Styela clava: one gene and its partners. The protein of the gene in region 4 binds, or shares a complex with, the protein of the main gene of each other region. Links are inferred from orthologs where the notes say so. Each region holds a gene or a part of one and is shown on either strand. Other genes may lie near its edges. The genes, in order: SAP domain-containing ribonucleoprotein-like, THO complex subunit 6 homolog, THO complex subunit 5 homolog and THO complex subunit 2-like.

What was found.
Region 1: THO complex subunit 2-like (region 4) and SAP domain-containing ribonucleoprotein-like share a complex: the UniProt entries of both Homo sapiens proteins name them as parts of the transcription/export (TREX) complex. The link is inferred for Styela clava from reciprocal best matches to the Homo sapiens genes THOC2 and SARNP.
Region 2: THO complex subunit 2-like (region 4) and THO complex subunit 6 homolog share a complex: the UniProt entries of both Homo sapiens proteins name them as parts of the transcription/export (TREX) complex. The link is inferred for Styela clava from reciprocal best matches to the Homo sapiens genes THOC2 and THOC6.
Region 3: THO complex subunit 2-like (region 4) and THO complex subunit 5 homolog share a complex: the UniProt entries of both Homo sapiens proteins name them as parts of the transcription/export (TREX) complex. The link is inferred for Styela clava from reciprocal best matches to the Homo sapiens genes THOC2 and THOC5.

Annotation. Positions count from the first base shown.
Region 1 is NC_135261.1:12,045,133-12,052,993, reverse strand, and holds SAP domain-containing ribonucleoprotein-like, read right to left. Parts: upstream 2,727-7,861; 5' UTR 2,667-2,726; coding exon 1,968-2,666; 3' UTR 896-1,967; downstream 1-895. Other genes in the region: serine/threonine-protein phosphatase CPPED1-like, read right to left, coding at 238-327, 506-551. UniProt on the Homo sapiens protein: Binds both single-stranded and double-stranded DNA with higher affinity for the single-stranded form. Specifically binds to scaffold/matrix attachment region DNA. Also binds single-stranded RNA. Enhances RNA unwinding activity of DDX39A.
Region 2 is NC_135252.1:9,988,398-9,996,187, reverse strand, and holds THO complex subunit 6 homolog, read right to left. Parts: upstream 3,005-7,790; 5' UTR 2,847-3,004; intron 2,550-2,846; 5' UTR 2,547-2,549; coding exon 2,019-2,546; intron 1,807-2,018; coding exon 1,354-1,806; 3' UTR 1,238-1,353; downstream 1-1,237. Other genes in the region: heme transporter hrg1-A-like, read left to right, coding at 1-122, 585-718. UniProt on the Homo sapiens protein: Component of the THO subcomplex of the TREX complex which is thought to couple mRNA transcription, processing and nuclear export, and which specifically associates with spliced mRNA and not with unspliced pre-mRNA.
Region 3 is NC_135253.1:12,733,163-12,741,864, reverse strand, and holds THO complex subunit 5 homolog, read left to right. Parts: upstream 1-5,760; coding exon 5,761-7,749; 3' UTR 7,750-7,934; downstream 7,935-8,702. Other genes in the region: FHF complex subunit HOOK-interacting protein 1B-like, read left to right, coding at 1-3,100. UniProt on the Homo sapiens protein: Component of the THO subcomplex of the TREX complex which is thought to couple mRNA transcription, processing and nuclear export, and which specifically associates with spliced mRNA and not with unspliced pre-mRNA.
Region 4 is NC_135263.1:707,343-715,795, reverse strand, and holds the start of THO complex subunit 2-like, read right to left. Parts: upstream 3,510-8,453; 5' UTR 3,430-3,509; coding exon 3,350-3,429; intron 2,554-3,349; coding exon 2,489-2,553; intron 1,731-2,488; coding exon 1,639-1,730; intron 4-1,638; coding exon 1-3. Other genes in the region: uncharacterized protein LOC120341307, read right to left, coding at 8,414-8,453. UniProt on the Homo sapiens protein: Component of the THO subcomplex of the TREX complex which is thought to couple mRNA transcription, processing and nuclear export, and which specifically associates with spliced mRNA and not with unspliced pre-mRNA.

The DNA of each region.
Region 1 (7,861 bases), on a different chromosome or scaffold from region 4:
GCAAGCCTTTTATTTCTTATATCGATTAATTTTTAATTTATCAAAAGAAGAGACATAGAAAGCATTGTATACCCAAATAAATTCGTTGAAGAGGTCACGTCAGAATTCATATTCTAGAATATGCATAGAGACGGGAAAGTAAAACAACTGGCAAATTACATCAGCTAATGTATTGACCCATACAACCTTATCCAAAAAGAAAATTAAGAAAAAAAAAAGAATTATTGAAAACATTACCTCCTCCACCTTTAATGAGATCTATAAATCCAAACTGTGGATCTGATCCATGTATGAACGTATATGATCCACACCATGAATCTTCGCTACCTGGAAAATTGCACATAACAATAGCAAACTGCCAATATACTATAGATTAGCAAAGTTTAAACCTTAAATGTTTTGTATGAATACCAAAAAAGCTTCAATGGTCAAATAGCAATAAAACAATATTCAATCACTTAAAATAGCTTACATATTATTGAAAAAAATGATTGTAAAATCTCACCTTTCGTGTACCCAGGTATCTGACGATTTACAGCCTTTATCAGCATTCTTCATTTGATACAATCAGTTTACTAATTTAGTTTAGTACAGTTTTGCCAGTACAATTTATTACAATATTTGGTGTTAAGTCTTATTGGATAACTAATTTTTTCAATAAGTTAAAGATTCAGACAGAATAAATTACTCATAAGCAAAACATTGAGTGAATTTCAGAATACCACATTTATGGCCCCAGCCCCTACACCACATTTATTTTTTAGTAATGTGCTCATATTTAGTCTAGTCATCTCCTGTGACTTGATACCACTCTCGCTATAATATAGGTTCTCCAATTTTCAGTTTATTTCTCCCATCATAGTTATTATTGAGTAGCCGCTATATTATTATTAAATCTAGACAAAATGGTAACAACAAAGAAATTAATCATGAATTTCAAAGTTTGATGTAAAGTTCGGTGGCGATATTCAATATATCAAGATAAAAACACATTGGATTGAAAATGAAATTCCAAAATAATTTGACCAATATTTTCAAGACTAGTGACGTAACAATCAAGCAGCCAAGTATACAGAATTATTTCCATGGATTGCAAATGATATAATAAACTGTATAATAATCTAAATTTTAGGAATAGGACTGTACAACGCCCAGAAAAAATGCGGATCGAGATTTGAATGCAGATATGTTTGAAGAAAAATGAAAATTCAAGCTGATGTAAAATTAGTTATAATTTACAACAAAGTATTCTTTATTTCAGAATATTTCCATCTAGAGAATTGTCATCTTGATGCCCCAAGTAGGTGATCAAGAATGGACACCAGTTTTTGGATACGTTAGGGAAATAGCTTCATTTTCCATTTACCATATACAAATTTATTATGCTCGAGTCATAATCAGTATTTAAAGAATTTATAGATATAAGAAATGTGATATAGTGCAACAATACCATGTTATAAATCGAATTCTGTTATATAATTTTCAATACTAAGTATAGAATGTAACATCGAGGTTGTAATGTCAAAATAACTGCTAGCGACTACTAGTATAATCACCCTGTTTGTGTGTCATTTAATAAAACAGTAAAATTGGTACCATTAAATATGCCTATTGTAAATTGTACAACTACAATGCAACAGAGGACCATGATGCATACCAATACTTTTTCCAAGGCCAAGGCCAAAGTTACAAAAACCATCACCCAACAGAACAGTTCAAAAGTTGCTATGATTGAGTAGACTAAGCAGCGGTAGTGGACATCAGAGAACTCAAATTCAATTTAAATTCAACTAATATGGTTCTCACTAGTGAGAACAATACAACATTAATAAAACACAGATTGTCTTAAACCAATTTGAACTTGTATGCAGATGAAATTAGGATACCTAGGTGTGTATCACACATACGATCAAAGGGGCCTATCAACAATGCACATGCATGGAATGAGGTAATAAGGTAACTCTGCTTCAAACAGTCAGCCCGAACCTTTCAGCCCTCTTTTTCTTTTTATCAACATCTTCACCTGTTATTGTACCAGATGTTTCAATACCAAACCTAGCTTGTCGTTTCCTCCGTTTTTCATCTTCTTCATTAGTACTTAAGGTACTGGAGACGGCACCCCCAAACCTTTCGGCCCGTTTTTTGAGTTTATCAGGGTCCGCACCAGGTGTAGTACCTATCCCTTTACCTGTTCCGAATCTTTCGGATCGTGCAGCTTTTCTTGCGTCAGCGTTCATGTCAGATACGGTGACACCAAATTTTTGTGCACGAATTTTCAGTTTATCAGCATCAGATAAGCCAGTTGGAGAATGCAAGTCTTTAATATTTTCAGTTAATGAATCCTCTTCTTCCTCTATCTTTTTGTCATTTTCAGTTTCAACGCTCTCAGTGTCATTCGGCACTTTTTCTTTAGTTTGTTCAAGAGGAGCTGATAAAACAGAATCCTCTAGTTTTTGATCATCTATTAATGATTCTTCTTCATCCTCTTTTAATATCTCATCATCCGCAACCTCTGCACCTTCATGTTCCTCCAAGTATTGTTGAAGTCGTTCAATTAGGTCGTGTTTATTGCCTCCAGTCTTCAACCCTCTCAACTGTAATTCCTTCTTTAACTCAGGAATTCTCATTTTACTGAGATCAATCACAACTTCATCTTCTGATGCCATTTTTATTATAGTTTTATTGCTTACGGTAGTTGAAATGATACTGCAAATGAAAGCAATGGTCATTATCCAAAGGTCATTATTCAGATAATACTGCTGTACTGGGTAAATATAAATAACATAACCAGCATTGCTGCAAACAATCAATTGCAAGTGAGTTCCATTTAATGAATTTATGGAAAACAATTTATTAAATGAAAGATGTCGAATCGATATTTTCAGATTTTAGAGCAGGGGTCTCCAACACGCGACCCGCAAAGCATTTTTTGCGGCCCGCGTTGTGAGATTTTTCCAGAAAAAAAAACAAAATAGTATAATGTCAACTATGAGTTTTATCGTGTTATTTAACATCAAGAGTCCGGTACAATAAACTGTTAAAAGTAAAACGAAAATATCAGCCGTTATTCCACTTTACCACGTTCATACTTTATTCTATTGTAATTAATAAATTAGTTAGTTATATACTCTATTGTAATTATTATAGTTAGTTAGTAAATTAGTTATCATTATCCTTGCGACATGGATCTGTGGCTTGAACATCTGGAAATTTTTTCATCTTCATGCACAAACTTTTCCATCTATGTTGCGTGACACAAATAATCACCATTCGAAGTTATATATTTCAGTACTTAGTGGCATAGTGATTGGTCACAGCATTTAATGCAATTAAAACAGATAAATAATTCGATTGATGAAAAAATTATATGCATGTGCCATGAAATCAATCATATCACTGTAATTTATTCCAAATTTGGCATGAATTTATTGACGTAAATATAGTGAAATGAATATGTAAATATTATCTTATAATGATCCTAAGTACAGAAGTACTGCTGTCAACCTGTCCAGAGCTGTGGGCAGTTCATTGGAAAATAACAAGGTCTGACTGTCTGAGAAGGCTAGCTCAGCTTACAGACTTAGCCTAGTTGTTGAACTAGTCTGCAATTTAGATCTAGGGTCGAAATCAAATTCCCTTGTACATCAATAAACATTTTATAATTTCAGAAAATACGGTAGCTTGAATTAATCAGATTGACATTGCAAATTCAAAAATAATAAACTTCAATAAGACTATCTGGGAATGGATTTTCTATATATTATTCCCCACTCACACTGTATTAACTTAGGCAATCTACATCTCAGCATATTGCATAAGATTGTAAAAACAAAAATATCACGGGAATGATGTATTCACCAAACCAGCGACACACTGAGGTAAGTGCTCAATCAGTCGATGCTAAACGACCCACAGACTTTTCAGACCACGAGGTGGCATAAGACGGTTTGAGTTCTGAGTTTGATTTTCATTTGCCTCGGGATTTGATTGCCCTTCTTGGTGACAATGAAGGTTGGAGATTAATATATACTACTGGTATCAGACAGTTGCAGTCAAGCTAGAATAAAGACGCCCCCGAAGCCCAAGATTTAGGTAAAATATGTTTCATGTTTTAAATAGCGCTAGCAATTTGATACGCGTAATATGACGTCCCATTTTCAGTTGCTATGACATTTACTACAGTCATGAGCCTCTTTAATTGCATTTAAATTAAATTCATTACGGGTACCTAAGACACTTGCTCGATTTGCACACGTATCACACCTGTAATAAATAAATTCCCATAATTCAAGTAAAGATTGACTTTTTGTATGACGTCGCTGACACTATTTCTTGCTTTTTACAATTTTATATTGTCACAATCCAATCCAATTTTCATACAGATGTCAGCTTAATTGTATTGTGTCGAATGTAGATTCTGGTGCTGCCATTTAAATAATCTTTTTTATTCTTAAACCCCACATCCCGCCGAAGTGGAAATCGCCATGATAGCAACCGAAAATACAACTTTCAATGGGAAAAGACATTTATGTGGCTCACCAAATGACCTGATGGCTCTACGTCAGCCTATTGCAAACCCATTATTGTGCTAAGGGCATCAAATCAGACAAATCATAGGGCTTTTGTACTTAGTAGAATTGTTAGCTTTTTTCGTCTTGATTTGTCTTTTTCCGATCACTGGGATCTGACAACGCTGTAGTCTCACTGCCCTGTTTTGGCGGTAGTTGTTGGTTATTGTTCGCAAGTCTAGCAGTTTTATGTGTTATATTAGTTAGGTTTACGTCCAGTTGTAGGGATAATTAATTGCCCGTTCTACAGGCTTATGTTATTGGTACATATAACTGCTGTAACTTTTATTGTGGAATTTTAAGTAAGCTAGAAATAGACTATAATCTGATTGATTCCTGAACCGAAATTGACGTTGTTTCTGTATATTTTAAAGCAGTGTTTCCCAACCCGAGTCCGCGGTCTCAAATGAGTCCGCGGAGCGTTTGAATGAGTCCACAACGGGCCAGAAATTCACTGCGGGCCGCAAACGTTTTTGCGAGACCTAACTATCAGCCAAGTTATGATTTATGTTAGAATTTACATAAAACATAAAAAAATAAGTTTATTCATATCACTTAATCCAGTCAATAATTTCTGGTTACTGAGTAGGGCTTGGCATATATATATTCGAATATTCAACTATTAGAATAGCAATTTTCTATTCGAAAATTCGGCAACAGGTGGCGTGACAGGTCACCTGCGCGTCGCCTAACCAAACAATTGCTAATTTTCTACGAAAACACCAGTCGGCACGCGCGTCGATAGATACGTAAGTAGTGTTTCTCGCGAGTGCGAACAACCAGAAATAATTTTTTTTCTGGTAGGTGTCAATGGTGGCAACCCAAATTTTCTAAATTGAAAAGCGGCAATACAAACTACTATAGATAACACGGAGAACACCATAAGTTTTGTTTTATGGTAGTCCGCAACCGATTGAAAACACTTTTTTACATTGCAAATCGCAAAATTTCCGGTGCCACCATAGTATACGTACAAGGGCATTTTCCCTTAGGATACTTTGCTTTACTGCCTCCACATTGGTATGTAGGCTACAGTACTGGAGCGCCGTAAGTTTTGTTTCAGATTTGTCGAATTCACAAGATCGCAAAAATTATGTATCAAAACTAAATATAATCGGGTAACATATTCTCACATTAGTATATTCGCAGATTGCCGTGGAATTTTAATGTATAATGGCCTTTTCTGTCGCACAATATCCAATCCATGACAACTACGAGAATTTAAAATGTCTTTCTATTTTAATTCAATCGTGTTCATGGTAACTCGCGGTTGCGTCCACTTACGAAAAGATGAAAGCATTTTAGGGATAAATTCGTTATTTTAGTTAAAATTCATAGAAAGGTTTCAATTGGATATTTGGGAGTAAGGTATTGAAGAAAGGAATGTGTTGAAAGGTCTGGTATTAGGAGTCGTCTTGATAAGTGTCGTCTCGTCTCTCGATGTTCTAATGTTGTCTTCATCGTTTGCTCTCCGTGTCTGTCCACAACCTTAAACTCATCTACAACGTCAAAACGTGTTTTTATTGGCTAAAATGGTGACGACGTGTTCTTTAATGGCTAAGGCATTACTTCTTTAAAAAATTCGGCCATTTTAACGAACGCTCAATTGCGGCAAATTTCCGATTATGAAATTCGTTAAAATTCCGTTGTATTTGGTTTTATTGCTTCTTCACACAGAGTACGGTTGCAAGAAATGCACCTTGAGTCCGCAAAGGTTTTCGCTAATGAGGAATAAGTCCGCGACCAAAAAGAGGTTGGGAAACGCTGTTTTAAAGTTTAATTTGTTATTGCCTGGCACAAAACGTTTTGGTAAGATTGTAATTTGGTATTCTACATCACTGGTTCTGTTGATATTTGCCTCAGTAGTGATGTCTGGATGTGTTGGTTCGATATTAATTTGTGATCAACATTATTATTGTCTGAATAATAATTACTTTGATTAACAATTTAAGCTTGCAAGAGCTCCAATACATTATTGTTTTACATGATCTGTATTCGAATATTTTTATTTAAAATCAGAAAATCGCTTCGCTATCTTCGCATCGCTATACTACACTTCATTAACTTCACACTACACCTTGTGAAAACCTCATCCAAATATCGCGAACTGTTTGTCTAGATTTTATTGCAATATATCAAATTATTTTGTACAACATTATTGATATTTGTGGCATTGGAAGACACACTGAGAGTTGCGCGTTTTCGAATAGTTTTCCACGAATCAAAGATCAGCCAGATATTTCAGTCACCCCCTTATGCGACACCTGGATTTGCCAGGATACATAAAAAAAAGTTACCCTATGATCACAGTGTAAACAAAATGGTCAAGAGCCTCTATGACCCACAAAAGTCCTACACAATTAAATGTTTAAGTTGTTCAATGTACTGTATTACTATAAAAATCAGCATTATTCCATTCTATTTAACATTGTGTTGTGAAAATGAAATATCTTTCTCTCGTGCTACGAGGCCGCACTTTTCCCGCTGTTGACCAACTAAAAAATATCAACGTTGGCTCGCTGGTGCAATTTTCCCTCCATGCTCGTCAATTTCTGTTTTGACTTAGTCTTCCGCCCCCTCTTATTTCGGCTCCGACCCTATTGTTTTCTTTTTTTCTCCCTTGTTTTTGGCTCAAATTTTTTTTTTGACTTCCTCTCTCACTTGTTTTGGCTGCGACCCTATTTTTTTTCGTTTGTCTCTTGTTTTTGGCTGCGGCCTTGTACTTTTGTAGTCATTTTTATCGTTTCACTTTTTCCTTTCGGCAAGGCGGCTCATGGTGCTACTCGTCAGGAATACGCTCGCCATCGCACCTCTGATTAGTCTGCGTGGGTTTGCAGATTCGAATCCCATGCAGGGATGGTTATGTGCGAGAGGATTGCTCGACTTCTCGCCGACGTAGGGTGGTTCACGTAACCGACCAGCCACCATCAAGTCCATGCTCCCGAAAACAAATAACTAACTAGTCCCGTACCCGACATGAAATGATACCCGAGCGAGAGGCCGTGGTTCACCTCAGTTCTTCAGACTTCTTTCTAGCGGTTTTGCCTGACTGCATCTCTCTATAACTCCGTCTACGCTGCGGGATGATTTTCTGCGTTCCACAGAATGTGTATCCCTGTTCGAAAGGCACATTATGAAGCGGATCTGGCCCAATACGAATGGCGTTCAGCAATTATTTAATTGTACAATACAATTATTCATTATCTCAATGTTATAAAACTAACAATGATACAAGTTGTTTCTTGTCAGACGGCACTTACTTTTCGCAAAATTATTGGCTTGCGTTGGCTTGA
Region 2 (7,790 bases), on a different chromosome or scaffold from region 4:
AGATTATTGGAGAACATGGCTTAGAGGTCTACGTTATTTCATGGCTTGTGGTGCTTTATTCTCTATCATTGCTATTGCTGGATTCATAACTTATCTGGTACTGGGAATAAAAGCTGGAATAGGTAAGCGAAGCGATAAGTCTGCAAATGAATGAGAAATATGTGGGAGCCGCATAATCTTTAAAATTAATAATATTGGAATACCGTGAACTGAAAAAAACTTTACCCCAACTTTTAATAATAATATTGCAAATTATATAATTGCAAGGCGATATCAGAAGTAGTTAAAACCGCCAACGCAGCAACAAACATTTGATCATTGGGATGTGAGATTTGTTGTTGACTTAAATTACACGCTACAATTTTCATACTAAAACATTATTTGTCGTAATCATTGATGAAAACTTTTTCAACTGCTTAATGAATTAAAAAAAAACTGTTACGCTACAGTTTCCCTTGGTTAAATTTGGACAATATATAATTATTGCTGGCGAAAAGAGCCGCATAAAAACTCAGAGCGAGCGAGCAGCATGCAACATTTATTTTTTAGTAATGAATTGAACATCGAATACTTTTATTTCACAGGAGTTACTGTTGGGAGTTTCTATATATCATGTGTGTGGTGTTTCATAACATTCAAGTGGGCATTTCTTCTTCTACTTTATTCACGATCATACAGAAATGAATTCTCAGACCTTACAGCTTTATTGGAATTTTAAATTGGGATTAGACCATTCGTTTTGATCGTCTTATTGTAAATTGTGTTTATTGGTATATCAAGTACTATTATATAATACATTGCCATTTTGTAACATGACTTAATGAGAATTGCAAATCATTCACTTACAATTTCGATATAATATTTACTTCATTTACTTTTTGTTAATTGTGTTTATTGATTTATCAAGTATTAATATTATGATGCATCGCCACAGGACTAAGTGAGTTGCAAATCACTCACGATTTCTATATAATATTTTTTCCTCTGGTGGCTTTACTTATAAACAAAACCTTCAAGAATAATTGCTATTACTTTCGCTATCCAATATTATTGTATACCTCTCGTTAAGTACTGAATCTCAACTAACTGTCAATCCATTGATTGCCAATAAGCTGATTTGCGCATGATTATTATCAGGTTGTTGCCACTGTGAAATTCTTAGTTGCTTCTAACTGACTGGTGTCAAGTGTTAATCAATCTGAAGCTGTATTGAGCCAGTTTAGATTTGCAGTAGGCATTTTACCAGTCAATCATTTTTTATTGTTTGCATCCTATGTATATCGTTGTAGCCAATGAAGCTGACGTACTCGTTGTGAAAATTTATAATAAATGTGCAATGCAGGTATCTGCATATCATAGATTTAATGTGTGTGATCTATAACTTGGGTTACAAAATACATCCAGTTTGTGGCTGGTTCCTGCGGCAATCAATGGTGCACTGTCTGTGTTTTTCTTTTTATTGAACGTTAGAGAGAAGACTGTTCCAATGCCACAAGGAATTGAAGCCTTTTCATCACCATTGGTATACCAGTGGTGTACAGAGTTTGTATTTCCACCAGAAACTATGAAGTTTTCATGGAACACTGTTGTATATGGTGTGAACTCAGGGCAATCCAATACAGCAGTTTGACTTTGAGATCGCAAATGCCAGAGTGATAGTTTCGGTCCTCCTCCACAAACCATCCACTGCCCATTATCATCTGTAGCAACGGAGCTTATCCATTTTCCATATTGTGGCCGACTTAGCTCTTTGTTTTGATGCGGCTCAATTGTAGTTGTCGCCTGTGCCATACGAAGGTCCCAAACCTGAAACAATCATTGTTTAAGTTTAAAAGGAATAGTGCTGTAGTAAGGGTTATGTTGTCAAGGGTGAGGCTGATTTAATGGCTTACTGTCGCTTTTGTTCAAGATACTTATCGACTCAAAATCATAAATTGGTAAAAATAGATAACCTGAATTTTAATGAAAAATCATGATATGCATGCCATGATATACAGACATTACTATTAAGTGCATACCTTAACACTACCATCTTCTGATGCAGAAACAAGGCCATTAGGAGAAATAATTGCAATATCATGAATATATTCTGTATGTCCAATAAGCATCCGTTCACATTTTCCAGAATTAAAGTCCCATATACACACTACATTGTCATCTCTTCCAGCATATAGCTTTGTCTCGTCGCAAGCAAGAACATTTACGTCATTTGAAGAAAATGATCCTTCATCTCCTTGTGATGGTTCATGCAGAGTATAAACTTTTGCCGGTTTCCTTTCTAATATATCATTCCATTTCCAAGCTGCCACTGGCCCAACTCCTCCACTTAAGAGGCAGTCTTTCGTGGACACCAGTGAATGTATTGGGCCATCATGGGCTTTGAATGTAATAATTGATTTTTGCCACTTAAGAGAATTGAGTGTGACTGCTTTCTCAAAATTAAACAGAGATATATGTCCAAAATTATTTGCTGCAGCAACAAACTTCCCACAAGGAGAAAATACAGTGGAATACACAGTTGTACACAGCAAGTGTCTTGAATCCATAGTCTGAAGAAACGAATATAAATAAGTAGGTAAATTAAGTTTATTGTAATATGAATTGTATATCAACAAATTGGATCACTGCATGACACATTACAGCATTAGAAGAAGAGTCAGTAAGGTAGACTACAGCAGTAAGGCACATGCAGACATGAGCTCATGCGGGGGCAAATTGTGAATATTACCGGTATCACTAGTATACTGCCTAATGTTAAGACCTTAGTTCCTCATAACTTATATATATATCGCATGTCCGTATACGTCTTCTGTACCGGCACCGCCTTCTTTCCGAGTGAAAATTACCTAAATTCTCTCCACATGCCCGGCTTGTTCATATCCTGAAATTATCAAGTTTCCCCGCGAATCTTGCGCACCATCTTGCGGGATACGCCAAGACACGACATTTATCCCCATGCTTCATTCCATAACTGTCACCCTCGACTCCAGAGAGATAGAGAGAGAGATTTATTTAGTCAACCAGAAAAAAAAACAGTCATAATAACAAATAAATAATGGCTATAAAAAAAGTACGCTTTTTTCGGTATAGACTGGAAGGAGCGATACGACAACGACCATGCGGTCATCGAAGTCAGCCCCCTCCAAGTTTACGCTGATAAATTCACAGTAAAATATGGCTATTAAAAATGGTTGAAGTTCACGACACAAAATTTGAAAAAAACAAACATAAAAATGAAGTAAATAAAAGTAATTAATTTTTTTCCCTGTGAAATCAATTTTTAAATGATGAGATTTGTGAAATGAAACAGTTTGGGCAAATTTTCAACTATTACACTATTATTTGAAAGTGAGTAGTGAGCCCCACAAATAAAAAACAATTTTGGCTATTGGACTACTATACTCAAATGTAAATTTGGACACATAACAATTATTCGAATCAGCAAGGAACCAGCCTTACATGTACGAATAAATAGGAGATAAACAACATGGTACTCATGTAAAACAATTGTTTCAAGAGAGGAATCAACCTTACAACGAGAATATCGGTCAGAGACGGAGGACTATCGATCAAAAGTTAGGGGATCCCCCAAAAAAGCGCTCTCCATAGTGACACCTTGTGTCCCATCACTATTTAATTATTAACTCGCCAATTATACGACATAATTCGCCCAAAATCAATAGGGTTCTGGTCCGAGATATGATGAATGCACATGAGAAATCTGGAGCAGATTCAATCTCGTTTTCGTGAGATATCGCGTGCATCTAACAGACAGACAGACAAATAGCCATCAACATACTTACCGATTAAAATCGATAAGCAACAAGAAAGATTTTTGGCAAATGGGTGACTGAAAAATTATTATATACCCCAATTAAGAAACAATTTTGGTAAACATACGATCAATAGTCATATATATAAATGCAATTTAGGTTGAATAACTATTATTAGTAAGCCTTTCAAACAAGACAACAACTGTGGCATATTAAAAACTTAAACCCAATATTAAAATAGGTAAACGATGAAATTATTGGGAGCAGCAATAAATCAGCCTGACAAATAAAAGGCAGTTTTTGCAAATATACAAGTAGCCCTCATATATAAAAAAAATCTTCCAGAAAAAATCTTCATATACAGTACCTGCCCCTGCAAAATTTGTTTGTTATTGGACACGTTAGTGGACAGACTCTGATGACCTTATCGGTCGTATCGTTTTCTCCCAGTCATAAACCGAAAACTCTGAATTCTTATTTTGTGAATATATATTATGATCGTTTTGTTTTTCTGGTTTGACAAAAGCAATAAATTCTTTCTCTCTCTCTCATAACGATCGTTTTGCATTTTATGCTGGTACTCTTTTTCTTCTTCTTGATTACCGGACCAATCGCTTTGGAATTTTCAGTACTCAAAGATTAAATTTTTCGCTAGAAGGGTATTACTTTTATTTTTCAAATATCCCGGTGAACTGCATGGGATTCGTTTTTTATGTGTGCCATGACGTCATCGACATTTGCCACTAGGTGGCGCTGCGTCTCCACATATTTGAGCATAGCTCTCTTGTTTTGAGAGTGCTTTCGTGAGTTAGCGCTTATAAACTGGTTCAAATTCTTTATACTTATTCTTTTATCATTTTTTTCGACTCCATAATCAATATAATAGACGATAAAATGATTGATAAAAACAAAATAAATAGCACTGATTATAGAATCGGAAAGCAAACAAAACCTCAAGTAAGGTTTGAAGAGTACAGACTTTAGATAGAAAGGTATTATCATTTGAAGTTGATTATAGTTGGAGTCACTTATATGCCAAATTGCCCAATCAGAATTGCCAAGTTGGATGGATGCATGGAGAGGTGGACTAGACCAATGTGACTATAACCATATATATTCATTTATATATTAATATTCTCATTTGCATTGCACTTCTAAACCTCTTTAACGTTCTGCCAAAAGTGAAACCACCACAAGTTTGGGGAAATGCTTTGTTATAAATCCAGATCTTTGCTGATTATATTTATGATTAGAAAATATAGAGATAAGTTGATACATATTTTTATCCCATTTCACCAAAACTTTTTGCTAGAATAGCCATAGTCTACTAAAGTCACGATCACACTTGAGTAGTCCATACCATATACATGATATTGAACACTAACTCTTGTTTAAACATGACCATGATACCGTCAATCAAGGGTGTATTTTTGTCCAAATTCTAAATTTAGTATTATTTATTTAGTTCATTTTGTGTGGTGTTATGTCGTATTTATAGATGTTGTCTTTTCTCACAAACACTCCTGTACAAACAGTTTTGTATACTCCACCCTTACCTCTATTACCACACCCACCCACACTTCTTGCACAACTGTCTGTATAAGAGACCATATTATATGTATTCGATTTACTACTTTTTAAAAATTTTCAAACGGGGTGCATGCTCCACGTTCGTGTTTTAGGCCAGTATGGTCTTGTGCATACATCCCGTCTTCAGTAATGATAATCTATATATGCGTTTGTTACTTTTACGAGACAAACAAACATACATACATACCAGTGGTGGGATTCAATTTTTTTTTGTCAGCCGGTTCCATCACAAAAGCCATATTTTTCAGTCGGTTCTGTTACAAAAGTATGTTACAACGAATCGGTGCGAACCTGTTGAATCTCACCACTGACTATTATAACCCAATTGCTAACAATGAGTGCAATGATGCATATCCGACGCCGTTTTGTGTCCGGCGAAACGCGGCAGCCTCTGTTTGATTTAGCTTCGTCAGTCCGCTGATCAGGTTTCGTTCCCCAATTTGTCTGAAGATGTGTTATTACTAGGGCTGGGAATTTTAGGGAAACACTTTGACCGTTAACCGGGTAAAATTAACCGGTTAACCGCCGCGTGATGTTTGACGTCATAATTCTAATTTCAGTTTGTTACGTCACAATGGTTATAAAACAATTTCACGTGTTCTTATCCCGCCATCACTCAAAATTATTCACGAATCGAGATAGTTTCATGATTCCTATGCTGCAAAATATAGGCAGCGTCGTTCGGGCATGTGGAAATATTTTAGAAAACCCGACAAATTTTGAGTGTTCTATGTGCAAATTCTACTTCGAGATATATATCATAAAGAAAAACGGCATCAACTGTACACTTATTGTATGACATTGAATATCCGATTTTGCAATGAAATCGTGAACAATATATTTCTGAAAACTGATTCTGAATTCATCATTGTAAATTTTCATTATTAGCAACCTTGGTGCTTCCATTATTTTTCACATTTATTGATTCCTTACCCACACAGTTAGTAATATTTTTTTGAATTAAACGCCGCAAAAGATGAATTTGCGATGATGTAATCATATTTGACGAAATTGTACGGTATAAAGATGATTTGTACCTGAGATGTCAGTTAACGGTTAAAATAAATCATAACCGTTAACCATATGAAATCGGTTAACCGGTTAACCATTCCCAGCCCTAGTTATTACTTATCGATCTCGATTGGTAAGTATGTTGATAGGTATTTGTCTGTTTGTTATTTATCGATCTCGATCGGTAAGTATGTTGATAGGTATTTGTTTGTTTGTCTATCTGTTAGACACTTTAATATGTTACGCGATATCTCACGAGCAAGGTTGAATCTGCTCCAAATTTTGTGCATTCATTATATCTCGGACCAGAAGCCTATCGATTTTGGATGAAATATGTCGTATAATTAGCGAGTTATAAATTAATTAGTGATGGGACACACGGTGTCGCTATGGAGTCATAACGGATGGATCGAAACCGCAGTTTTTGTTTTGGGGGATACGCTAACTTTCGATCGATTAGTCTTCGGTCTCTGACCGATATTTTCGTTTGTCTATTAGACACTTCCGTATGTTACGCGATATCTTACGAAAGCGAGATTGAATCTGCTCCAAATATTGTATGAGCATTCATCATATCTCGGACCAAAAGCCTATTGGTTTTGGATGGATTATGTCGTATTATTTAATTAGTGATGGAACACGTGGTGTCGCTATTAAGTCAGAGTGAAGGGAACATGCGGAAGATCGATAGGTCGTAAGTCTCCGACCGCTAGTGGAACAATACTGGTATCGTGTGGGTTCGTGAAAGTTGCGATTATTTAACAGGTTAGGCTGTGCTCAAAGAAGTGAAAAAACGAGACTGTGGAATCTGCAGAGATGCGCTTGTTTCTATGGAAAGTGTCAATCCCGATGAACGCCCATAATCGTAACTAACTCTTTTTTGGCCACACATGATAAAAATTTAAAAAACGATAGTTTTACCCAATATTTGTGCCACCCATCCAAAGAGAAATCGTATTAATGCCTTTCATAATATATGGTCGCCGGTTACTTTTCTGACAGATAAAGTCGACTGCTCGAAATATAATTTCTCATCTGGCCACTATGCCGCTTTTAAAATTTTGGTTGAATATTCACGCAAAAGAGGTGACAAAGGAAAATTGAAAAACAGTACGCTAGTAAAACTGCAGCACGAATACAGAGTCAAATAGATAATATATTATTTCATACACTCTATATTATTATATGTTCTTGTAACTATGATATATACCGTTATTCTGCATTCATTGCATGTAGTATATTTTTTCAATATATTTAGGCAATCTACACCCTGTTGAAAATTTGCGATACGCAGATTTCAATATTATGTAGGCTACAAATAGTTGCAAGTTTCTGTAGTGTAGTTTGTATTGTCAGTTTGTTAAAATAAGTTTTATGCAAGTAACGATACTTACATCAGAATTTTTATAATAAAAT
Region 3 (8,702 bases), on a different chromosome or scaffold from region 4:
TCTTCTCGAACAAATGATTTACTTGTTAGTGGAAGAACAAACAGCTGGATTACAACTTGGACCTATTTTAGAATATCTTGTCACAAATAAACTCATGCTTAAATTATTTCAGTGGTTTGAAAGATCAGGAGAGTTACAGAAACAGATAGCAATGAATCAAATCAAAGTTTATGAAGTTTTGATCAGTCAAGCTCAACATTCGTTGCTCCATCACAGACAATTAATAACACCAATGTTGAAATTATTATCGTCTTGTTCTGAAATGAATTCGGAAGAAGTTGACAGCCATGTTGTTTTGTTGCTGAATCTACTGTGTGTTTGGATTAGTCGTGACCCTACTTTGTTGGAAGTATTTTTTGGTTCATCTGATGATCAAGGAGCAACTAATTTTCTAATTTTTAGCCTTTTAATCGGATTCATTCATAGAGAGGGAAGTATCGGACAGCAAGCGAGAGATGCACTGTTGCTTTGTATCACTATGTCATGTGAGAATGAACGTATTGCAGAATACATTGTCAAAACTGACTTTTGTCCAGTATTGGCTACTGGATTAAGTGGTTTGTATTCAAGTTTGCCTCGTCAAATTGATGTCCGGGCAGATGAATGGCATTTTCTAAGGAAACAGGACTGGAGTCAAGTCCCAGCGCTTGTGAATTTCATGAACTCTTTTGAATTTTGTAATTCTGTTATTGAGGTTTCTTGTGGTGTTGTAAGTGAAAATTTACTAAACTACATATACAATGGTTTTTTAGTCTCTGTTTTTGGACCTGCATTACACAAACCGTCAGCGAGTGAAGTAATTGTTACAACTGCGTATCTCAATCTATTTCTGCAATCTGTGACGGCCCCAGAACTTTTACAATGCTTTCTCAAGTTCTTACTGTGCCACAGGCATGATAATTCACTCATCATCAATACATTGATACAAAGAATTGGGAGCAACAGTAGGCTGGCTGCGGTTTCGTTGTCACTCTTTCGAACGTTGCTAGATTTGGATTGTGAAGATTTGATGCTGCATTTAGTGTTTCGATATTTGATACCATGTCAGCACATACTCGCCAGTCAACATCGCTCAATATGTGATGTAGATATGTACAGTGCATCTGCTCATAGATTTATAAATCTTGCTCCATTATGTTTTAATTTACAAAGCGATAAAACATCTTTGAATAATGAGTTAAGTGAATCACCTTCAGTTATTAACAAATCTGTTAAAGATGTCGCTGTGACAGACGCTGATTCCAAAGAACGCTCAAATTCTCAGGTATCCGCAGGATCAAATAACAGCAATCATAGTGACCAATCAGAAATGATTACGAGCCCCACAACAATGGCAGAGTTTGGCCCGGATCATGACTCTCAAATGTTATTGCATACAAGCTATATGGATTATTTGGAAAGTGCTAATTCTGCTATTGCCTCATGTAAAGAAGCTTGTAAGAATTGGTCGGAGCCTTATAATGGAAAGAATCCTTCTACAGATTCTGTTACAGAAGTGAAGGGTTTAACTGGCAGTATGTCTGCTGGACTTTTGCATGATAAAGCACTGAGTCTCCTGTCTATTAATGATAAAGAAAATCACAAAACACATGCTGAATCTGATCCCTTCCCAATGCAATATCAAAAACTTCAGGGAGCTGAACGAAGCCCAGCATTACATGCCTTAAATGCTACATACCAAGCACTAAATGCAACAGCGCAAGTTCTTAACATTAAAAGGTTGTCAACATTACCAATGAATGGGAACGCTGAAGAGTTGAATCAGGAGATAAATTCTCTGCCCGAAGAACATAAAGAACAAATCACTGATCCAGATCAAAATAATTCTGTTGACGTTTTCAAAGAAGAATCTGATATACCTGAAAAAATTAGGGTTGAAAACGGGTTTTCAGTGAAGGATGATGCTGAAAAAGTATTGGGGAATGGTGTCGAAAATTCAGGCAATGTGAGTGAACAAACCAATGACGAAAAAAATGAGTCTGCTATATCTGATGAAGCAACAGCTAATTCATCATTTGATAATTATGATCCAGATAACAAGGAGAAAGATAACAAACCATCGAATGCTCAGACTTCTTCTGTGGATGAATTTTTCAGGAGGTTAATGGATAGTGTACCAAAAAATGCAAGAGATCGAATTGAAGGAAAAGTGTCATCACCCACTGAAGATACTGGAATTGAATTCCCCATTGAAGATGATTCATTTGCAGAAAGACTGAATAGTACAGCGAGTAATGAACCTGATGGCACTCACCGTCAGGCTAGCGTAAATTCGGAGGATTCCAGTTATGAAAAAAGTTTGGAAGATCATGATGAAAATTGGGAAGATGATAGCATGTCGATTAACTCTTCGTTTTATGAACCAGATTTAGAATACACACCTGCGGAATTTTCTGTCGCTCCCTTAGTGCCACGTCTAAAAATGCATGCCATGCCTTATACAGGTCCGTTTCTAAGTACTTTGTTCGGAAAGTTGGATCAAATGCCGAGCAATTCGCTTTACGAAAACCTTCTGTTGACTGGGATCATATCGAGACTATCTATATATCCTCAACCTCTGATTCGATCTTTTCTTCTAAATACTTATGTCGTTTTTCATCCTGCAGTAAGGTCATTATATCAAGTTCTTACTGGAGTGAAAAATCGTATAGAATCGTATGCCGCAAATGTGGAAAATTTTGATGCGTTGTTGTGCCGGGCAGAAAAATACCTTCTTGCTAGAGGAAATGAAGCAGTTGACACCATTGAACAAAACTTAGTTCAAGATACACCCATGCCGGTACCGAGAGTGAAAACAAGAAATACTGCTCTTGGGGAAGTGTTTTTAAGAAGAAAGCGAAGAAAACCATTGACCCAGAAAGGCTCAAAACTAGATACATTGGTCGAAAAACAAGGAAGGTCATTACAACTGACACAAAAAACAGGATTTGAGGGACAATCCATGTTTTATGCAGTTTCTAACACAAAATTTTTCTCCGCATTAGATAAGCAAAATAATGACACACGAACTAAAAATGTTGTGTTTGCATGTGTGATTCTGCATGAATTTTTAAAGGAATTGGCAGCCATATCTCAAGAACATGCCGTTACATGTGCCTGAAATATGATTACTTGAAAATTTAACTTTTAATAAACATCATGTTGCACTTTATAATATTATAATAAAATAAAAATTCATACTCATAATATTTGCAAATGTTTTATAACTGAATGAAAATATTCATAATTTCTTTACTATCTTTATTGGTACGTTTGTCGGTACGTTGGTTTTAGCACTTTTTTTGGAAATGTTGCTAATATTCGACAAGTCAACAAATTTTTTTCCGTTATATCGTCAAATAATTTTTTGTAGCAATTTATTTGCCAAGTATATTTTGCCTTATTTATATTATGCTAGGGTTTATTGTACAGTAAATTCTTATTAATCTATAAGCATAATACAATACCTAATCTGTCTGATATTGCTGTATATTCTGAGTTGGAAAGTAGAAGAAAAACTAGTAATAGGCCGTATCGTATAAAAGATTTTTTCAATCATTGGTTGACTGAATGATGCGATAAAAATTAAATCAATTATAATACTTGCCTGTTTTTTTAATCCAAGTTGAAATGATATAGCTCATTATCATTTACAAAACTATGTCAAGAGCTTGTCACTTGAGTGCTAAATCTACTTATTGTATTGGAAGATTAAGAACTTGTGTATACTCTCAATATTTTTCAAGTGAGTAAAAAACATCTTATTTAAGACTATAAATTCAAGGTTAATTCCCTCTTCATTTTTTTTAGTCTAGTAATCCAAAAGTGTTGTTGATTTAAAAAAAAAATTATGGTCCTAAATAACACCACATTTTAGTGTATTGAACAGAATGGAAATAGGTTATGTTTCCTTGACTCAGATGGATGCTTTCCTGTTCGTTTTCCAATTCTTTATATATTTTTGATTTTTGCAAATAATGCAATATTGAGAAAATTCGTGAGTCAATATCACTTCTATTTATAAGTTCTATTAGATGACATTCACTGGCTTTTCAAACATACCATATGTAACTTTGGTAGAACTCTAACTTTGAATGATAGGAATGTTTGTGCAAATCAAATCATTACTATTTGAACTATTTGGTGCTTTTTATAATATCTTAATAAGTATTCTTCAATTTCTTATTTGTGAAAATGGCCTATACATATATGGCAAAAAGGCAATATTCCCCCACATTCTTTCTCTGGATAGGTTGGCTATTTATTGGTTTGAGTTAGAACATCGTGGTTAAAACATGGCGAGGCTATGAACGTACAGTGTGAATAACTGAAACAATCATTCAAGGACACCAAGTACTGGTATTACTATATTTGCATATTGTGGTTATTGGCACTTTGTTGTTCATTTATTTAAAAATCCTCATTTTGAATGTGATCCTCTAAAGACAATCAAGAAATCTTTCCTTATACTTTTACACACTTTGCTCAAATGAAAATCAAGCTAGTAGAACTACTGCTGCCATAACCCCAAAATATATTGATCTTATATTCTAAAACAGCAAGAATTTTTAAATAATTTAAACAAATATTTGAGCTTTAAATTGAGTGGCTTATCACATTTTATGAGTGACTTTTCTCCTCTAAAATCTGAATAAATAATGAAGCATGTATATTTTTTTGAATTAGCTTTGATTATCATTGTGTTAATAAGGTATTATTTACTTGTTTCATTTAAACCTAGTAAACCGACACAATGCCAAGATTTGTTACCAGTTTGTACGGGTTCCTTTACATTATAAATTTGAGTTTGATTTTTTTGATTCAAATTCAATATAGATGAAGTGCCTTAAAATTTCAGATTTATATTTTTTGATTAAAATTATATTGTTGTTCTTATTATTTTTGCTTGACGATATTACATCATTTCATCCATCACATTATACGTTTTTATAACAAGATCGCAGGAAAGGATAATGAAACTAGAATATCAAGACTTTTTCTATGAGTCGGTGGTTAATGAGTCACAATTATTGTTATGAACGATAAATTGTATTGTGCCAAAAGGCATTTGTAAATCTTAGTCATGGAAATTTTTCTGTTTTATCCGACATTTAGTTATTTCTCATCCCCATCATTAATTTCCTGGTAATTGGTGATGTAACTCTGGACATTCAGATTTTTACAAGTTTTGAACTGTATTCCTAAGCTCACCATGATGTTATAATCTTAGTTTTTGCAAATGTCTTCGTAATAATGAATGCATGCTTGTGAAAAATGTATATTTTCTTATGTCATCTCAGGTACCATATTGAATTCTTGAAAGTTCTGTTATGTGTCTGATAGGAAAATTAAAAAAAAAAGGATCATAAACTGTAACCACACAGACACAGATATAATATATTGCTCACATATACCGTAATTATTCAGTTTTAGAGTGGTTATGTAGGTTTGAAGTTATTATAAGCGCATGCTAGAACTTTTCAAAATATGTACCAATTATTCTAAAGCACAGATTATAAATTGATGTATTGTACAGAACATGGTTATAGTATGTTTACGTCATCTCCTATTTTTTGTGTTTTCTTGCTGTTGTACCAGCATTCATTTACCGTTATATTATAGGCAAATATATAACCACTCTTGCCTGACAGATGAATTTATTTAGTTGTTGAGTTTTCATTTCAATGTTTTTTCAAATGTATATCATGCAAATCTTTTATGTTATCTTTTTATTTTGTGTGTACGATATACTAGTATTTAGAATAATAATTTGAGAAAAACATGGCGAGCTATAACGAAGCATCTGAAGTACACGCTGAAGATTCCCTCCATGATCTCAATATGTTTTCATCAATCACAAAGGAAATACAGACAATCATGCAACAAATTTCACATCTCAAGTCGAAAACGCCTGACAAAGGGAAAGAGGAAATCAACGAACTACGTCTCACTGGTTCACTCCATTTTATGACGCTGAAAAAACTCAATCGACTTGCACAAATTAGATGTAAAAATGCCAAAGATTCCACGCTGGAAGCGAAGCAAAAATTAGATGCAAATAATCTACGTTTGCAGAATTTGCAATATGAAATAAGCCATCTTGACAGGGAGGTTAATAATTGTTTACAATTCAAGTCAAAACATGAAGATATTGATTTGGTTTCAGTCAATGAGTTTTATACTGAAGCGCCTCCGACAATATCCAAAGAAAATGAGACCAGAACAGATAATCATTTACAAACTCTAGCACGACTGGATTGGGAATTGGAAAATCGCAAAACATTGAAAGAGGAACTAACACAAGCACATGAAAAGAAAGACAAAATATGCGAAGGAATAAAGAAACGCAAACAAGATTTAGACAGCTTAAAACCAAATTTGGAAACGATCTTAAAAAGCACAATGCCATTGCAGGAAGCACTAGGTGATCATTTTACTGAAACAAGGGCACTTTATGACACAGCATATCTTCTTCCTCAGCCTTTGTACGTGCTATTTGTGCAAGCGAAAGCATTCTCCGACGCATGTGACAGAAACATGGATGTACAGATCGGAGGGGATGTCAATGTTGCAAAAAGATTGAAAGATCTGGAAACAAGAAAAGTTGTTGATGCAACTAATTTATATAAGAATCGATATGAAGATGATAGCGATTCTGAAAATGAGGATGATCAGGAAAATAAGAGAGGAAGAAGGAAGAGTACATCTACAAAAGCAGCATCGAGTGAAGTGATGAACATTGACAGTTCAATCTCCAAACATCCGCTCTTTGTTTCGCTCAAAATTTACCTCGAATCGAAGACTGCAAATTCTTCCTATTTGTTGATGAGATTTTACAGCTATGATTCTGAGTTTGTTACTGTTATTCCATCCCTAGAATTGTGTAGCTCATTGAATGAAATCAAGAAATCTCGTGTCATAGCTGCATCGTCCCTTCTGAATGATCTTCAACTAGTTGATAATGGTACATCCATACCTCATAAAGCAACAGGTACTGGAAAACACAGTACTGGAATTTCATTCTCAGAAAATGAGTTTGGTTATGTCTGGGCGCAAAAGTTAGCAGGTTTGGTTGCATTGCAGGATGGTGAAGTAATAAGTAGACAATCCGGTTTTTCTACAATGCATCTTATCATAAAGCTAATTAGGAAACGGATAGAATCTCGTCTCTCACTAGCAAATCAACTCAATGATTATTCAAACAACGTTGTAACATGTGATCCAAGTTTCCGAGAAAATTTTGCACCTGTTGTTCTGTTCAAGCTATCTTCATGGAAGTGCATCGATTTTCATGATTATTCTCAAATGGAATTTACTTCTGCAGCAAGAGAGCTTGATTTAGTGTCGAAAAATGATTACTTCTACTGCGGAACTTTGCAAAGAGGTTCGAGTGCGAATGTAGAGGTAGCAGTTGCTGTGTCCGACAAATATCCAACGAAATGGCCACTGTTCAGAATCCAAGTCTGTTGGCATGGCAACCACACAGCCGAAAATAACCTCAATGTGAGAGAGATAGAAGTTGAAGTGAACTGCAAAATGCCACAGATCGTCATGAAATCCAGAAAGAAATTGCAGAACGAGTTATTGTCAGTGCAGTTATACAGGCTGTTAACTCTGCTTGATATATATGTTGAAACGGACTGCAACATGGACGGTAGCGACATGCCATCTGAATTTCCAACCAGTAAACTATGTCCACGGATGTCAAAAGGAAGGGCACGCCTGAAACCTTTCAAATACAATGCGAGACACAAATTTCAATGCTACTGAGTCATTATGAAGAACCATGTTTAATCAGTCCTTCTGTTCATATAAAAATAGAAGTCCTTCGAGAGTTGGCATTTTTGAATGTTGTAATAATTTTTTACTGAATGTCAGTGCATATAAAATCATATTACTGCCAAATTGTGATGTTTGAATGAATGTGTATGCCAAATACAACTAGTTTCTTTTCATCATGGCCGTCCTTCAATTATTGCTTCATTAGAGCAGTGGGTAGATGATTTTGTTGCAGTTATTTGGAAAAAGTTGAGACCAGGGCTGGGGAGCTGGAGCAAAGCTTACCAACATAGATAAAGCCAGAGCTACCAGAAATTTTAATGTCTCATGCTCCTAACCAGTGTTCCCTCTAAGGTGTGCGCGCGCACACAGCTTTCAGAGACTGCGCACACGCATAGATTTACTGCGCACAGACGTATTTCGATGTAATGTAACAATGTGCTCGGTTGGCAGGTTGAGAAAGTTTGTTGTTGGCCCACTTATTACCCGGTTAGAACGCCAAAATTTCTTTATTGGTTTCTGCACAAATAATAGTCATTTCCAAAAAAGTGTGCACACACCAAAATTTCTGCGCACACATACTACAAAAAATTAGAGGGAACATTGCTCCTAACCATCCAATTATGTAACATTTATGATTTTCTAGTACTCCATACAAATGTTAAAACAAATTCAATTTTCAAATTCTAATAGTTCTGAGTCTCGCTTCCATAAAAATGCATTTGGGGCTGATGTTTAATGGCAGATAAGCAGTGGTTACCTAAAAACCGCAATGGGTATGAAGATTCACTATGATTTGGAACTAGCTACACAGCCCTGGTCGAGGCATGCAATAACATCCCTTTACTACAAACAAGTTTTGTGATGTTAGATCGGGACCATAATACGATTGAATGGATTGGTTGATGATAACCTTTTCAAGACTACGCCCAATTGAGGGTTTG
Region 4 (8,453 bases):
CTCCTGAAAATATAAAGGTTTCATCAGCGAACATAGCTATATTGTATAAGAATGACCGAATCTCTTTCCACAAAATAGTAAGTCTATTTATGAGCTTTCGTTAGATCATAGTCTAACTTGATAGTCTAACAAGTTATGGCTTAATCAAACAGCAATAATATTAACTGCTGTTCAGTAAACAATTCACTAGTACAGTGGTTCCCAATCTTTCTACCCTGGCGGACCGATAAAATTAAATGTACTCACGGACCGGCAAAAAATAGAAACGAGAATATCAGTCGGAGACCGATTAATAACTCACTAATTATACGACATAATTAACCCAAAATCAATAGGTCTGGTCTGAGATATGATGATTGCACATGAAAAGTTTGGAGCAGATTCAACCTCGCGTTCGTGAGATATCGCGTTCATCTAACAGACATACAGATAGACAAATACCTATCAACATACTTACCGATCTTAATAAGATCGATGAGTAATGAACGGAACAGAAAAGAATAACATATATTTGTGTATATATACATATAAAAGGAACACTTAAAAACATATCCCCACGAAGAAAAACTATCAAATAATGTGCCAGACAAAAATTGAAATGTGTGAAACATAAAATAATACCATATATTTGCGTAATGAAATGCAGTACTGGGCACCCATTATGAGTAAAAGGACATCCAGGGCAGCAGGGAACCAATACCCTAGTACACCCCAAAGTACATTCGTAATTAATGAAACCCGAGAAGATTATTTTTTATATCAAGTGGGATCATGAATAAGAAGATTTTCATGTTTGTTTTTGCTACGATAAAACGGGTAAAAAATATAAGTTTAATCATTCCGCGAACTAAGCCTTTAAGAAGTTATTTCTTTAAGATCGTAAAAGTTAATGGAGTCTAATTTTTAAAAATAACAACAGCCTCCCATTCAGTTAGGGGCGTAGCAAGGGTGTGGTTTTGGGGGTTAACCCCCACTCTTTTGAAATGTAAAAAAAAATCATCATTGTGTATCCTATATAGCAATATCTCATAGCTTGGAATGCTTCCTAGACCCTCAAGACCAGGGGTGGGCACGGTTTTGGACAAGGGGCCAAAAATTTTGCCCGATCTCGACTGGCGGGCCATGTAAGTGCGACGTGAATGTTACATTTTATGAAGAATATTTACAGTGTTACAAAAGCAAGAGTGTAAAACAATAAGCCTCGTGCCAAACTAAATTAAATCGTAACCTTAACAAATTCCTTCAGCTATTTTTCTTCTAAAACATCGAAATTTGGTTTTAGTTTGGTTGTGGCAGCATTGGGCGGTCCAGATTGTATTACCTAGCAGGCCGGATTTGACCCTCGGGCCGTACTTTGCCCATGTCTGCTTAAGACTGATGAAAACACTCGTATTCCAGCGTTCGGTCGTCCCCACTAGTCGTTTCGATCTAATTTGGCAAATAAAAATTTCAGAACCCCCCTTCAAAAATTTCTGGCCACGCCCCTGCATTCAGTTACCACGCCCCTGCATTCAGTTACCATTCCACAAGATAACCAATTTCAAACCAAAAAGATTCATTCACAAACAGTAGTTCTTTATATCAGTGGCTTCTTGACCAGAGCTGGGAAAAAGTGTGAAAACAAAACAGAAAACAAACCTTCAGGGCACTGATTAATCCGACCAGCTGTTCGTTCTTGAGACATTTCGCCAAAACTTGACGAACGACTTCGTAAAAGATTCTACGAACATCTGAAAAAATTTGAATAGTTTAAAATATAATTCCCATGAATATCAAGAAGAGAGGAAAGCTGATAAGGTGGCTTAATCAGATGGCGAACCAAAGTCTCTCAGTCAGTTACCAGTCAATGCCAGGTATGAGATTAGTTAGCTATTTATCAGATGCAAAGACTGAGATATTGTTGCGAATAATAATCAACCAGCGGTTGCATGAATTACTCCAACAGTGAATAGTCTTATAATCCTTGACATTCATAGTTGTAGGAAATTTTGCCGCATAGGAAAAATCATCGCATGAAAATCGCCGCATTATGCTGTAAAACAAGTATTTGTGATAGAATCAGTCAGGTATATGAAGTACCTTTTTACTTTAATAAAAAATCTTCCAACCCTACAGCAAATTTTCCGGACATGCATATTTATCCCCCAAAGAATTCAAACATAGGTGACCACATCTGGGGTTAACATACATAACAGGCACAAAGTACAAACTGCTGTTTAGATTTAGTACAGGATTTACATAATTATCCCAGGGGAGAGGAAAGCCGATAGGATGGGTTAATTATATGGCGAACCACGGCCTCTCGTTCTGTTACCATCCCATGTCAAGACGTGATTAGTTAAGTATTTGTTTTGGGGATCATGGGACTTGATGATGGAGGAAGCCGTACCTGACTAGCGGCGAAGTGAACTTTCTTGAGGAGAATGCATAGCGCAGCTCCAAGCCTGATTATTTGGTAAAATTATCATAAATAAAGGCGAAATATCACCTTTTCCTTGAACGACTTCTACTGGTCTTTTCTGGGCTGAGATGAAATGCTCACATTTGCTGATTCTGAAAAAAAAAATAGCAAAGTAATATAGAATTCATATTTATCCTGAAAGTAGAGAAAGCCAATGAGGCAGTCTAATCATAAATGGCCTCGCAATTAACTAACTGTGTTATGTACACTACTCGAGGACAATATAGAGCCAACAAGGAATTCAAAATTGCAAAACTGCACAGAGTTGTTTTAGTTGCCAGAGATGAAATAACAAGAACGCTTCTTATTTTCCCAAAACATTTTTTTCTCTACTGGACTGGCAGAGAAACGCAAGACCTACAGCCTAGGCCCACACCAGTATATCCCACACTAACTGCTTAAATAACGCCTAACAAAAATGTGACTTGAAATTTCAAAGGTAATTAAGAAAAAAAGCCTGTGTGACGCTGGATAAAAATCTTGGAACATATGTTTAGTTCAAATTAAACTCACTAAACTTAAACTAAGCAGGTATATCAGTACCCACGAATAGATAATTTATTTTAAACATGGTATCAAAATATGACAGCACATATGACTAGGCGGTGTGCCACATTGCCCCAAGCAGCTAAGAGAATATGCACTACACCTCTGATAACTCTACAGGTATGTGAGTCCGCATACTCTTGACTATTGGTGCACTTTCTAAAGCTTTTTTAAGATTTTGCCCCTTTTTTCCGATTTTCTGTATATTTGTTTGTTTTGCTGTAACGATAAATACAAACTAAAAAACTTTACGTAAACTTGAAATGACCCAAATGCAGGAATGAGGTTTCAACATGCCATAAACACCAATAAACAAAACTAAACAACTGTAGTACAGCTTACATTTCTGCTTTTCCAGATTTCTCCCATTCTTTAGCAATTTCTTTCGTCACAAACTTGAAATGTTTGTTGTTTTGAATCATGTTTCCAGACAAACCAGCTGGTAAACACACGCAAACGCTGAAACAACTAAGAGCGAAATCCAATGCCGTTTTAGTGAACCGAATTAAGAGTCAAGATTTACGAATCCGGATGTGCTTTCTATTTCAACCGCGTAAGAAGTTGCGAGGGGGATTTTTTTAAACCACGGGGAGCCCAGACAATGATAAAGTTGAAGGAAAAATCTGATATTTGGGATTCTTAGTCCATTTTTGACCATGTTGAGCACACATTTATCTCATTTTGATCTTTGAACTAATTTAACCCTAATTTGAAAATGTGACATATGTGTTAGGATAGGATAGGATTTACATATTTATCCCGGAAGAGGAGAAAGCCGATAAGACGGATTATCCATATGGCGAATCACGGCCTCTCGTCCGGTTACCATTCCAAGTCGCGTATGGGATTAGTTATATTGTTTGTTTTCGGAAGCATGGACTTGGTGGTGGAGGAAGCCGTAACCGACCAGCGGTTACGTGAACCACCCAACGACGGCGAGGAGTCCAGCAATCCTCTCGCACATAACCATCCCTGCATGGGATTCAAACCTGCGAACCCACGCAGAGTAATTAGAGGTGCGGTGGCGAGCGTATTTCTAACGCTTTGCCCGTTGAGCTACACCGCCGCGCTGTTACAATGGACCTTTCCCCGACCTTTAACCCCCAAAAATTCTTTCTATACTTTACCATTGCAAAATTTTCGGGGCTATTTTAGGAGTGGTTTTGCGAGTTGGTGCCTGTAAAATGGGGTATGTGTTTTAAACCATCATTATAATTCATCGCATACAACAATCTGTTTTTTAAAAGTACCGGTAAAGAATTTTAGCATAGTCTATCACAGCTATTTCTACACTAATTTTTGAAACTGCAATTAAATGAAAACTCGTAGGAAGACAGAGTAATCATTGAATTATCTGATTTATATTTAAGTTTCCGAAACACAACTAAACACTAACGAATAAAGTTCAAAAACGCAAAAATGAGGTAATGTTTACGACCACGCTTGAAAATTTGTCTGAGTGAGAAAAGTGTCTGAGCGAATGCGAAAAGAGAGCATTGGCACGTCACTTTTTGCATCTTGCTGATTGGCCAATGTCACGAAGTAAACAAGGAAGTCGATGCCCGGGGAAAGGTCCATGGGATTTACACTGTATACAAATGTGAAAAATTGATGTTGAAGTCTCACATTTTTATTTCAACATTTAACGAACGAACTCAAAAAGCAATATCGGCGAATCATTTGCGCATAAAGCAAGCATGAAATAAAAACTTAAAAAACTGCAGAAACGATTACCTGAGAATAACTCATTGTTCCAATTCCTCAGGCGTGGGAAGTCATAAAACAATTGCGAACTTCGACAAAACAAAGTCTCACTTTACACTTTAAACAGCTGGTATTTATTTGATTGCGTTCACACAATTTGCATCTTCCCCTTTTCTCAATTTTCTTTGGCCAGTGTGCGTATTTGTCTCGGCGGATATCTTCACATGGGGCCTTGGATAATTACCTTGAGAGGCTGCAAATTTCTTCAACTTTAGACGATGGTCTCCCGCGACGGGTGTTAGTATTGACATAGGTCATAGATCAAAGCGCTTGCGACTGCTGCTTGAAAATGTCGCCGTTTCATAAAATATGACGTTGGAAGACGGAGCAGGGGACAATCATGACGGTACCAGAGCCAGGCATTCACAATAGTCACTATTTTATATGCCAAAAGAGATAAAGATACCATCTTTTTTGGTTTCATTCGAAACCTGTACTTTGCAAGAAATGAATCCAATTTATCAATACCTCCCATAAACTTATTATATTCTTGCACGATAGCAGGCATGGGTATGTACACATGCTGTTTAGTTCGTCTGTCCCATCGTCTGATTTGATCAATTGGCTCCACTCCTACGTACGAAGATAGTAGTGACACTGCCCTGTTGTCATACCATCTTACGGCTATGTTATTGTTTTCCCCAACTCTGAAGTCATAATCCCCCCTGACTTTTTCTTTAATTTTTTTTCATCGTCCAGGTTACAGCTGGGTAGACGTTTTTTTCTCACGATCCCAACATAATGCATTCCTCGCTCTGATAATTTTTGAATGAATGGAAAGCTGCTAAGAAGGTTATCAGCAAATATCTTGTAGTTTGCATGGTATGACAATGTTGATGTCAGCTTGAGAAAAACGTCCGCACCTTGTCCTAACTCTGTGCGTTCACCGGTACCACCCTGGTAGAGATCAAAGTCGTATAGAATTCCACTCATATCCCCCTTCCCCAGATCTTAAAACCCCACGGATGAGGCTTACTCTTCAGGTACTGACGTATGGAACTTGTCGTGCCTTTATACTGGCACATCATATCGTCAACAGAGTTGTATTCCTCGGCTGTAACCTGTAAGCATGCATCTTTGAACATTGTTAGCCATGGACAAATCTTCCATAGCTTGTCAGAGTGTTTTTCGTTGTCAGACACAGTCAAATTGTTTACAAAATGCGGAATTCTCAGCAATGTTTGAAAGCGGTTGCGAGACATCACTCCACTCACTGGTTCAAAAAATGTTGAAGTTTCCCAATACATTCTAACACTGTGCATCTGCACTATACCCATGTGCAAATACATTCCTAATATCTGCTCAATTTCCTTTTTGTTTGTTTTGACCAAAATACCATTCTTTTGAACAATGTAGAGATTTGTTTGTTCTGTCAGAAGTTGCAGCATTTCCTCTGTCACAAAACCTCGGCAATAACGCAATGGCGTATCTACAATCATGTCAGCAGGAGGATCCAATTGGGGGCCGGAGAATGTTGCATCAGGTCTGTCGAATTGTTTCTTTCTCCACCGAAACTCATTGCGGTCGGTTGCATTTTCTATTTGGCTTTGTTTTTGATTTTGCACTCCTAGACTCGTCAAAGGAATGTCGTCGTCAGAACTTTCGGACTCGACCTGTAAAATGAAATATCATGAAATGAAAACAAAAAACAATATTATTTATGGTTTCGATCAATGAGTGAGAAAGATATTTGTCAGAAACTATTTTCGGTGTCTGTGAGCGATAATTGATCGTGAGAAGAAACTATGTAATCAATATTTGAAAATATTATGAACCTGGGAGCTGTTGTTTTCGTCTTTTCTGATATCGTATTCACTATCTGACCCACTACTAGTGCCTCCAGCATCATTATCATCACAGTTGAAAATGACAAGAATATCATTAGCATTATACACTCTTGCGATTCTAGTTCCCCGCGAGCTGCTTGACACAATCGATGCCATGTTCTAGAAAAAAGAATAGATATGGTTAGTGGCCTGACCAAGCAAGAAAAAGGAAGTCCAAGGCTATAATGTGAATGCGTGCAATTATTTTGTCAACGGTGTCACATGCAGATTTATTTATTCTAGTTGTATGACTAATCCCGATGTGACACCGGTGATACATCAAATGTAGACCTTCGTATGTCGGGTCAGTATTCACTCTAGATTCTCAATTCATACAACTTAGTAATCTATATCAAGGTAACTAAGAAGCCAACTCACCATTTATTTAACACCAATCGGCGTTCGTCATTTATGATCTGATGTTTCCAGGCTTTTCAGGATCTTGTCAAGAATCCCACCTAACCGGCCGATCGGTGCACGAAAGCTGTGCTGTTGAGTAACATTGGGCCTTAGGGGTTCTATGATCTATGACGTCGAAGTGTGCTTGGAAACATTTTATTTCTACAGGTTTCAAAAGATCGTGTAACAGGGGTGTTACGTGGGATTCCCTATTGAGAGATTTTGTTTATTTTTTTAAAGCATAGTAACACTCATTAATAAATAGGATTTTCTCATTTATCCCAGAGAAAGGAAAACCGATAATGCGGTTTAAAGAGTTAATTCTATAGCAAAGTACGGTCTCTCTTCCGGTTACCGGTCCATGTCGAGCATGGGAGATGGGATTAGCCGCAAACTAGGGCGACTTCATCGCAAAATGTGATGATGGCGTTTGGTTGCGATGAGGATGTCATATCTTTAAAACAAAATAATTTAGACGAAAAATTCGAGTTCAAAGCATTCCGTCTCAGATCTTGAAGGGATTTGTGTTGCCAAGGCAAGTAGACCCAACGCCTTTCTCAGATATCCGGTTTTCATTCGCTTCTCTAATAACTGACTTACTGGTTCAGAACAAGAACAAAAAAAACCAACAACTGATCGAATCAATGTTTATTATCATGTTTGGTTATATACAGAAATCACATGGAGACAGCTATGAATTTATTAACTGAATATATAAACTGAACGCGTTTCAATAGACAAGGCGACCAATTCAAGACATGGGTTATACGGTTAATAATAAAATAATAGTATAGAAACAATATATAAGTAAGCAGTGGCAGGATTCAAGAGGCTCTTGCAAACCGTTCCTGTTTTTTTATGATTTAGTTCAGTATGTTTCTCTAAAATGAGAGAACCCGTTGTTAGCGAGTTCGGTGCAATAGAGAACCCGTTCTTAGTTTTTTGAATTCTGCCACTGAAAGTGAGTAATAATAAGTAAAAAGCAAGTTTCATTTATAATAGGACGAACATACTTGTATGGCCTTTGTCTAATTCTAATCACAGGCCAACTTCAGTGTGGAATAATAATGCATAAGTAAAAATATCAGTAATTTAACTTTTATAAACACGTAATTTAGTCTCCTCTCATAAATAAAATCACGTTTTAAAGGTTTTAATGCTTGGAAAACAGTCTTTGTAAAAATATGCGATTTAGTGAAATTGAAGAGTAATTTAAGATCGGATCGTTCATGGGCAGCTTATAAATTTTGCATAATCAGACATGGACCTATCATAATTTGAACATTTAGAACAACGGCCATAGAAAAGCGAACAAAAATTTTAATGAAATCTATATAGATAACAACAGTCATTTAACTGTTTTTGTCTTTTTTATCATTGAATCGTCAACAAAGTTCTGTCAGGTTTTGATCTGGTTTTATATTTCACAGATGACACCGTGGAATGAGTGGGATGGT